Solanum lycopersicum: one gene and its partner. The protein of the gene in region 1 binds, or shares a complex with, the protein of each later gene. Links are inferred from orthologs where the notes say so. Each region holds a gene or a part of one and is shown on either strand. Other genes may lie near its edges. The genes, in order: small ribosomal subunit protein cS23 and small ribosomal subunit protein bTHXc.

Evidence for each region.
Region 2: small ribosomal subunit protein cS23 (region 1) and small ribosomal subunit protein bTHXc share a complex: the UniProt entries of both Arabidopsis thaliana proteins name them as parts of the 30S ribosomal subunit. The link is inferred for Solanum lycopersicum from reciprocal best matches to the Arabidopsis thaliana genes PSRP3/1 and PSRP4.

Annotation. Positions count from the first base shown.
Region 1 is NC_090804.1:4,042,977-4,046,734, forward strand, and holds small ribosomal subunit protein cS23, read right to left. Parts: upstream 2,534-3,758; 5' UTR 2,447-2,533; coding exon 2,225-2,446; intron 1,198-2,224; coding exon 916-1,197; 3' UTR 799-915; downstream 1-798. Other genes in the region: homologous-pairing protein 2 homolog, read right to left, coding at 177-202, 306-333. UniProt on the Arabidopsis thaliana protein: Component of the chloroplast ribosome (chloro-ribosome), a dedicated translation machinery responsible for the synthesis of chloroplast genome-encoded proteins, including proteins of the transcription and translation machinery and components of the photosynthetic apparatus.
Region 2 is NC_090804.1:66,172,010-66,175,700, forward strand, and holds small ribosomal subunit protein bTHXc, read left to right. Parts: upstream 1-1,348; 5' UTR 1,349-1,571; coding exon 1,572-1,749; intron 1,750-1,851; coding exon 1,852-1,916; intron 1,917-2,806; coding exon 2,807-2,929; 3' UTR 2,930-3,060; downstream 3,061-3,691. Other genes in the region: uncharacterized protein, read left to right, coding at 1-122.

The DNA of each region.
Region 1 (3,758 bases):
TGTGTAAACAATAGTAACACGTTCAAACAAAAATTCTATAAATCTTAGATCCTTCGACTACATTTATTTACACATTACAGGTGAGAATTCGAAGAAGAAACAAAGAAAAATGCACAGTAACACTACAAACATCGAATTAGATATACTAGTTAGAAAAATGATGAACTGTGTGCTACCTCGTTTACGAAATTGAGCACGATTCCTGCAAATTTTCAAGTAACAAAAAGTCGATAAGCTTTAGAATCTGTAAATTAAGATTACAACTACGAAAATATTCAATTCTGTTATCCGGCGAGAGAAGTTACCTTCAGTGTTATCTGCTTTAGGAGCCATGGATTGGAGAATTCACAGAGCGCGGGAAAAAAAACTTCTGTCAAAATTTCTGTACTTCGAATTCACAGGAAACATTGGGCACGAAGGCCTTTATACGATGTCGTAGTTGAACATCGCGGGAACTTACCCTTAGTATAGCCACTAATTACGAAAAGAGGATTCTTCCATCGCAAGTTTCAAGTGAGAGTTGCCATAGAGCCCATGGGCCTTGTTAGGATGAACCAACCCAACTAGAGAGACTTTACGGGCTTTTAGTTCATAATAAAGTCCAAATATAACGGGCGGTGGAAGATGAACAATCGCTAAAAAATATATTGAATTAAAAGAAAACAAAATCGGCCATGGTTTCAATTTTGTGCGTATAAAACTTGTTGATACTATCTTCATTTCACCTATCTTATTAAATTATTCACAAATTTTGATTATCTTATCGTCCAGTCAGAACACATTAAACAATTTAAAAAATGAAACAAAAATGATTCCAATTGTATTCTCCATCAACTATAGTACAGTTAAAAATAAGATAAAACAAAAACAGAAAGTTGAAACAATTTGTCTACAAATAAATACCAAAAACAACAATTAGGTCAAATTTCCACCACTCTGCTGCCACAAATTGATAATATCAGTAGCTTGATTAAGCAAAATAATCATTTGCTTTTGTGATATCCATGGCTTACTCTCTAGTGTTGTTTTCAACTCTTCCCATGCATCTTTTCTAGGCCAAAAAAAATATGGACTTAATGGTACACTTCCATGGTCTGGTAAAACTTGATCAAGGCCAAGTCCAATATTTTTCTCCATCCATATGAATTTTAGCACTAGCCTTGGCTTCTCAATTACCTTTTTCTTCATATCAACTTTCTGAAAAAAATATATCCAAGAATTCACTATAAGATATCAAAACATAATATCCTATCCTTTTTTGGGCTTATTATTTATATAGTCGTACGTATCTGGAATGAATTATGTGCATTCAACTGAACTTCTTATTTTCATCTTTAATAATGTAGACGTTTCAATACGAGTTTGAGTATTTGACACGGGTGGAAGTCAGAGATTGGATTTTGTCATAGGCGTATCTAGCTAGGATGAGTTAAATGTGTTCAAGTGTTCAACTGAATCTGTTATTTTTGGGTCAATATGTACATACATTATGTTGTTTTGGTACGGGTGCAAGTATATGACACAAATGTTTGATCTAGAGGTTGAATTCATCATCACTAAAATTTTAGGGCTCGAGGGTACGAATTGATATATCTAGTTTTTGTCGAAACATAACTTATATTTATAGGTAATGCTATAATTTAACTCCATTTTTGTTCTGTTTTTAGCTAAATGATCAATATATTTCCCCAATTATGCCTTTTTTTTATTAATTAAAACATTCATAAATTTGCTAGTTATTACTCATTTTCATTAAGAAGTTGTTGGACTACCATTTCATATTTAGAAAAGTCGAACAACACAGTACGTGTTAAATAATCATAGTAAAAGTGAATTCAAAGACTTAAAAATTCTAGATTTGTCGTATATATCAAATGATTCTAAAATATTACTATATTATCCTTTGAATATAAATTTGATGCTTTGGAAAATGTATTATATATTGAATAGTAGTATTCAATATCAAGGGTTTTCATGTTTTTCAAATTGGACAAGTATTGTTAGACGACTATTTTTAATATAATGACCAAGTAAAGATGGATTGAGGGAGTATTTACATTCTTAAATTACGTATCAAGTCAAAATCAGACAAAGATTACTCAATTTTACTAGTGAGAAGTAACACTACCATTCATGAAATTAATTGAGTAGCGCAAAAACTAATCTAGACACTAAGTTATCGAAAAAAGTTACCTAATTGAAAATTAAAGAGCTGATTTTTTACCTCAATTTCTTGAACAACAGACTCTGAAGTCTCAACTTCAACTGATTCTGCTTCTGCAACTGCTGAAGCAAAAATCTTATGAATTCTTCTTGTTGATAAACCTTTGTTGTTAAAAGATAATGAAGAACATGATTTGAAGGATTTATAACCTGGATTTTGTGAAGGTAAAGAAGGGATACTCAAATTGCCTTTCAAGCTAGATTGAACAGACATTGATAACATTTTTTGTGTAGATAAAAAAAATATTTGTCTAGTGATGAAAAAAAGTGAAGTGGGAAAATTGTGGCCTTAAAAAGAGTGTGTATAGAGAATTTGAGATAATGATAGAATGGATAAGGTAATAGAAGAAAAAAAATGAAAGTTGTTTAAATTGGGCTAAGAGGCCTATGGGTGAGGACTTTGGTCATGTTATGGGATTTGGGCCCAAAAGAAATATGATCATTAGTTATCATAGCTTTACTAATTTTGTATATTTAGCAACGTTGAGTTGATTCGGGATGTCAAACGAGCGGATTGAACAATTTTTTGAGAGTTAAAGTTGTGTTGATAAACGAGTGGTATCGATTTGTTTGAAGATTATAAATTTGAGATAAGATGGGTTAGTATTTTGTCGTAGTCTAATATGTTCAACTTTTATCAAGTTTACAATTCTTAGTAGACAAAACTTATGAGTATCAGATTTTTATAGATTAATTTTGTCATCCCTAATCAAATTGATCAATATTATCTGATTATTCAAAAAAAAGTAGAATGTATCTCATGGGTGAAGATTGTTCGTGCTTCTCAAATGTTACGTACTTTTTTAGGTCATTAGTCAGCAACTCTCTCGACAATGACTTCACATTACTTTTTTAACACGTCTATCATTATTATTTTTAGAAAATCATTTTTTGAGATAGATGTTGCGCCTTGAACATGTGGATGAGTGTGATATATGTATGCCTCTTTGACTATTCGTGAAATTAAATCTCTAATATTAACAAAAGAGGGGCATATTAAGAATGTCCTAGAGCTACATTCTTTCTTATTGGTATTAATAAAAAGCCATCTTTTTAATAAGATCTGAAAAAAAATTGAAAATGAAGTTCATATATCATAAATATTTTTCTTTCAATGTCATTTTCTACATAATTAGTAAAAGAGACGACTTTTGATATATATGTCCATGCGTACTACTCATTCAAGTTTATGAAGAAAAAACATTACTTGAGCTGAATTTTATGATATTGACAAAATCATATAATAAAAAAATAATAATATTAATATTAGTCATATTAATTATGAAGTGATCAAAATGAGTTGCAAATTTGAAGAAACCACTAATTCAATTCATACTTATAATTTGCCCTTTACATACACAAAAAAGTATATTTTTATGATCAATGTGACGCTTGGTTTTATTTTTCCTAAGAGCTAATATTGGGCTAGAGGTGTCGTATCCCGGAAGAACGGAGATTGATGATGATATCGTACATTGCATAATTGAAATGGACTGGATAAAATGAAGGTTCGTACTAGGGTACTATGTGATAAG
Region 2 (3,691 bases), about 62 Mb from region 1:
CTAGGAACCCTTATTATAGATGTACATATGCCAATTTCTTGTGGAACACGGGTGGCGAGGAAACTTGTTTCCTTCCAAGTAGTACTTCTTCTATCAATAACAAGAAGGGTGAAGAAGTTTAGTCGTAACAGAGAAAAATTGTTCAAGAAATGCATCAAACTAAGGAGAAAAATGGTGAGATTCCCTTATGCTTCTGGTAATTTTAACTACAGAGTGGAGAAGAAGTTCCTCAAGACGTCGATTTAAATCACATATTTGAATAAATACTAACGTGAATGATCGATCTATTGTGTTTTTTTTCTGTAGGGAAATGGCTATATTATTTGTTCTTGATTTTCTGTGTCTAGATTGAGTAGAGTGATTTGCATGGGAGCTGTTCACCACCACCAACAACAACATCTACGGTTCAGTACCAAACAAGTTGAGGTCGACTATATGAATCTGTACTGTCATAGTTCGAGGTCAATTTTGTGGTCGATAATAAGTGAATTGAGTTCTCAAATTTTTGTAGAGTAGGGTATTTCATCTTTTGACTGACTTGTTATTAATATATTTTTGTATTTTTGAGTGAGTTTGGTAAAAAAAAAATTATAATCAATTGGGAATGTCTTGTATGATTAATCATTGTGTTACTTCCTACATTGTATATCAACGTACATTTTTTTCTTTTTTCTTGTCTTTTAAGAAATATTAAAAATATTTATTTTTTTACTAATTTACTGTTATAATTATTTTTCATAAATTCTATTTTTTGTGTCTTTATCTGTTAATAACAAAAGAGGAACTTTACAATATTTATATTTTTAATCAAAAAGAGTCGATTTAAGGTGCAAAATGGAAAAAAATAGAATTAATTTTTTAATTTGACAAGTAATTTTGAATAAATATCTTTGTTAATGTAGACAAGTAGTCTGTCATAGAGGTGTACTATTATCTCATTACTTCTCTTAATTATTATATATGTTAAAATTTCTTTATGTATGTGATGAAATCTAACTATATTTATACTCCCTCCGTCTCATTTTGCAATTTATTTGTCTATTTTCACACATAAAAAAAGATAATTTTTTTTCTTATTATATTCTTATTTAAGCTTCCTGAAAATTTTTAAGTTTTAATTCATCTTTTTCGAAATCATAATTAATAAGGGCAAAATTGTAACTTCACTATTCTAATTATTGCTATATTAATATGTTTGTCATTTCTAAAATGGACAACTAAATAGGAACAGATAGAGTTTGAGATAACACTATTATTCCTTATTTCTCGTTCCAAACAATCCTTTTCAGGTCTCAGTTTATTGCTTGATATACTTTTACATAAAAAATAATTGATCTTCTGATAACTTGAATTCACAATTTTAAAGTTTAAAATGAATGGTATTTACCATCCAAGTAACTCTTAACGTTTTTTTTTTTAAAAAAAAAAAACAAGGAAAAATAAGTGAATTTTACCTTAATTCAGGGGTATTTGAATAAAAAAAAGACAAAGGGCACATTATCTAGAAACAGAATAAGAAGCTATAGAACCACCACAAATAAAATCTCAATTCTATCAGTTGAGCTGCTGCAATGGCGTCGTTGTTAGTTGGTTCAGTTCCTATGAGTACTGTTCAATCCATGGCTTCTCTTTCTCCTAATTTATCATTCTCTCGTTCTCACTCCGTCGCCGGCAGCGTTTCAATTACGGCGGCATCTCCTTCACCATCAATTTCGTTTTCGTCTCTCACTGATTCAAATCTCCCATTGGGTACGAATCACATACCTTTTCGAATTTATTGTTTGTGAAAATTTTGTGATGATTGAAGTTTCAGTTCGAGAAATTGAAATTTTGATTTGATTTCATTTTCAGTTTACTGCGGTAGAGGTGATAAGAAGACGGCGAAAGGCAAGCGGTTCAATCACTCCTTTGGCAATGTGAGTTTGTATATTTTGGTTTATTGCAGGATAAGACCTCCTTAATATGATTTAGTTTCAGATACACCCCTGTATATTTTATAAACAAACACTTACCTCCTCTATATTAGGAGAATCCTACACTAACATTCTAGTTTGATACGTGGAATAAGAATAATAATCTCGAAATAGAATTTGAGATTAAATTTATTGCATATTTGAGTTAAAGGTATTGGCTTAAAATAACGAGTGTATCGAAGATGAATAAATAATTCCATGAGATATTTAATGTATTTATGCCTTTAAATTTTAGAAAAGAGAAGTATGTGTTTTGTTGAAATTGATAAATAAGATATCAACACAAATTACTTAATATGAATAATTTTTTAACTCATATTTGATTAAATGAATGTTAATTCCATATAAAATGATTTATAGATTCACTTGGAATAAGATTATTGGTGCATAAGGTTTTGCATAATTAATGCAGGAGTTTAATGCTTTTAATATTATAGAATTTTATACTGAGATTCAATTGTTCATACATTTAGACGAATTGACCCCTAAAAAGTTTTGAAGTTTATTTTTGATTGCAACCTAGATGCATCTCGACTAATTTTATCAATAGATGGGATAAATTACCTAGTGTTATTTTGTCTCTGATAGAATTTGAACCTGAAACCTCATGATTCTCGACCCTCTTCGTTAACCACCAATGTTGATGATAGATTCAAAATAGTCTGTTAAATATGCTCTAACCAATTTTTAGTACTTTGAAGTTTAGAGTGTTATCATCATACGTTTAACAATTTATGTTCGTTAGATTTGACAGAAATAGTGAAAAAACAACAGTTGTTTCGACATTTTTTGTTGTTATTTTGAACTGATTCCGATGGTATGAATTGGTTTAGGCAAGGCCAAGGAACAAGAAGAAGGGAAGAGGACCACCTAGGGTTGCAGCACCACCAGCAGCACCAAAGAGAGATCCATTTGATGATGGCCAAGTCGTTAAAATTGAAATACATGACCCATAGTTTTCTCGGAGGAGCAATTTCATTTTTATGTAGCTCTAATCTTCTACTACTTTGTTTATTTCATTGAAATATCGATTAAGTTAATCATTTGGACTGAGATTTCTAGTTTGCTTGAAGGGTCTTCGTTTAAATGCTCTTGTGTCCTGTTAAATTATGCATTTTGGTTCTAGCAACCTTCAGTAGACAAGTGGTAATAGTCACTACTTTAGCTATTGAGAAAAGTGAAAAGCTTAGAGAACCCCACATTCCTTATGGGTTGAAAACCACGAGGTTTTAGGTTCATATACTAGCGGAGACAAACACATTAGGAGGTCTTTTTGTAGAGTGTATAAGAATAGTAATATATAGTGTATTACTAATGCTGGGATTAGTTATGTTGGAGCTATTTCCTACCCACTATTTGGTTTGATATATTATCAAGGGCACTTTGGCCTCGAACAAAGAAAGGATCAAAAAATGTCATAGCTAATACATCCTACCAAATGACCCCTAGGTGGTTCTTATTTAGACCTTCGTGGATAGAATTACTCCATATCTGTGCTGGTTGGAGGTAACCTTTACCTCGAAGAATTAGTCAAGATGTGAGTGAGCAAATCCAGTCACAAAAAAACTTCTTTTGTTTGGGTCACCAAGTTTGTCTGCGTCCACTATACAATCATAAACCAGCTTTACAGCAGGACACAAGTTGGATAAATAGAATTCACATACATATTGGTTGAAGAAAATGCTGATTTTGATGTACAGGTTAAGCTAAGGACAAAT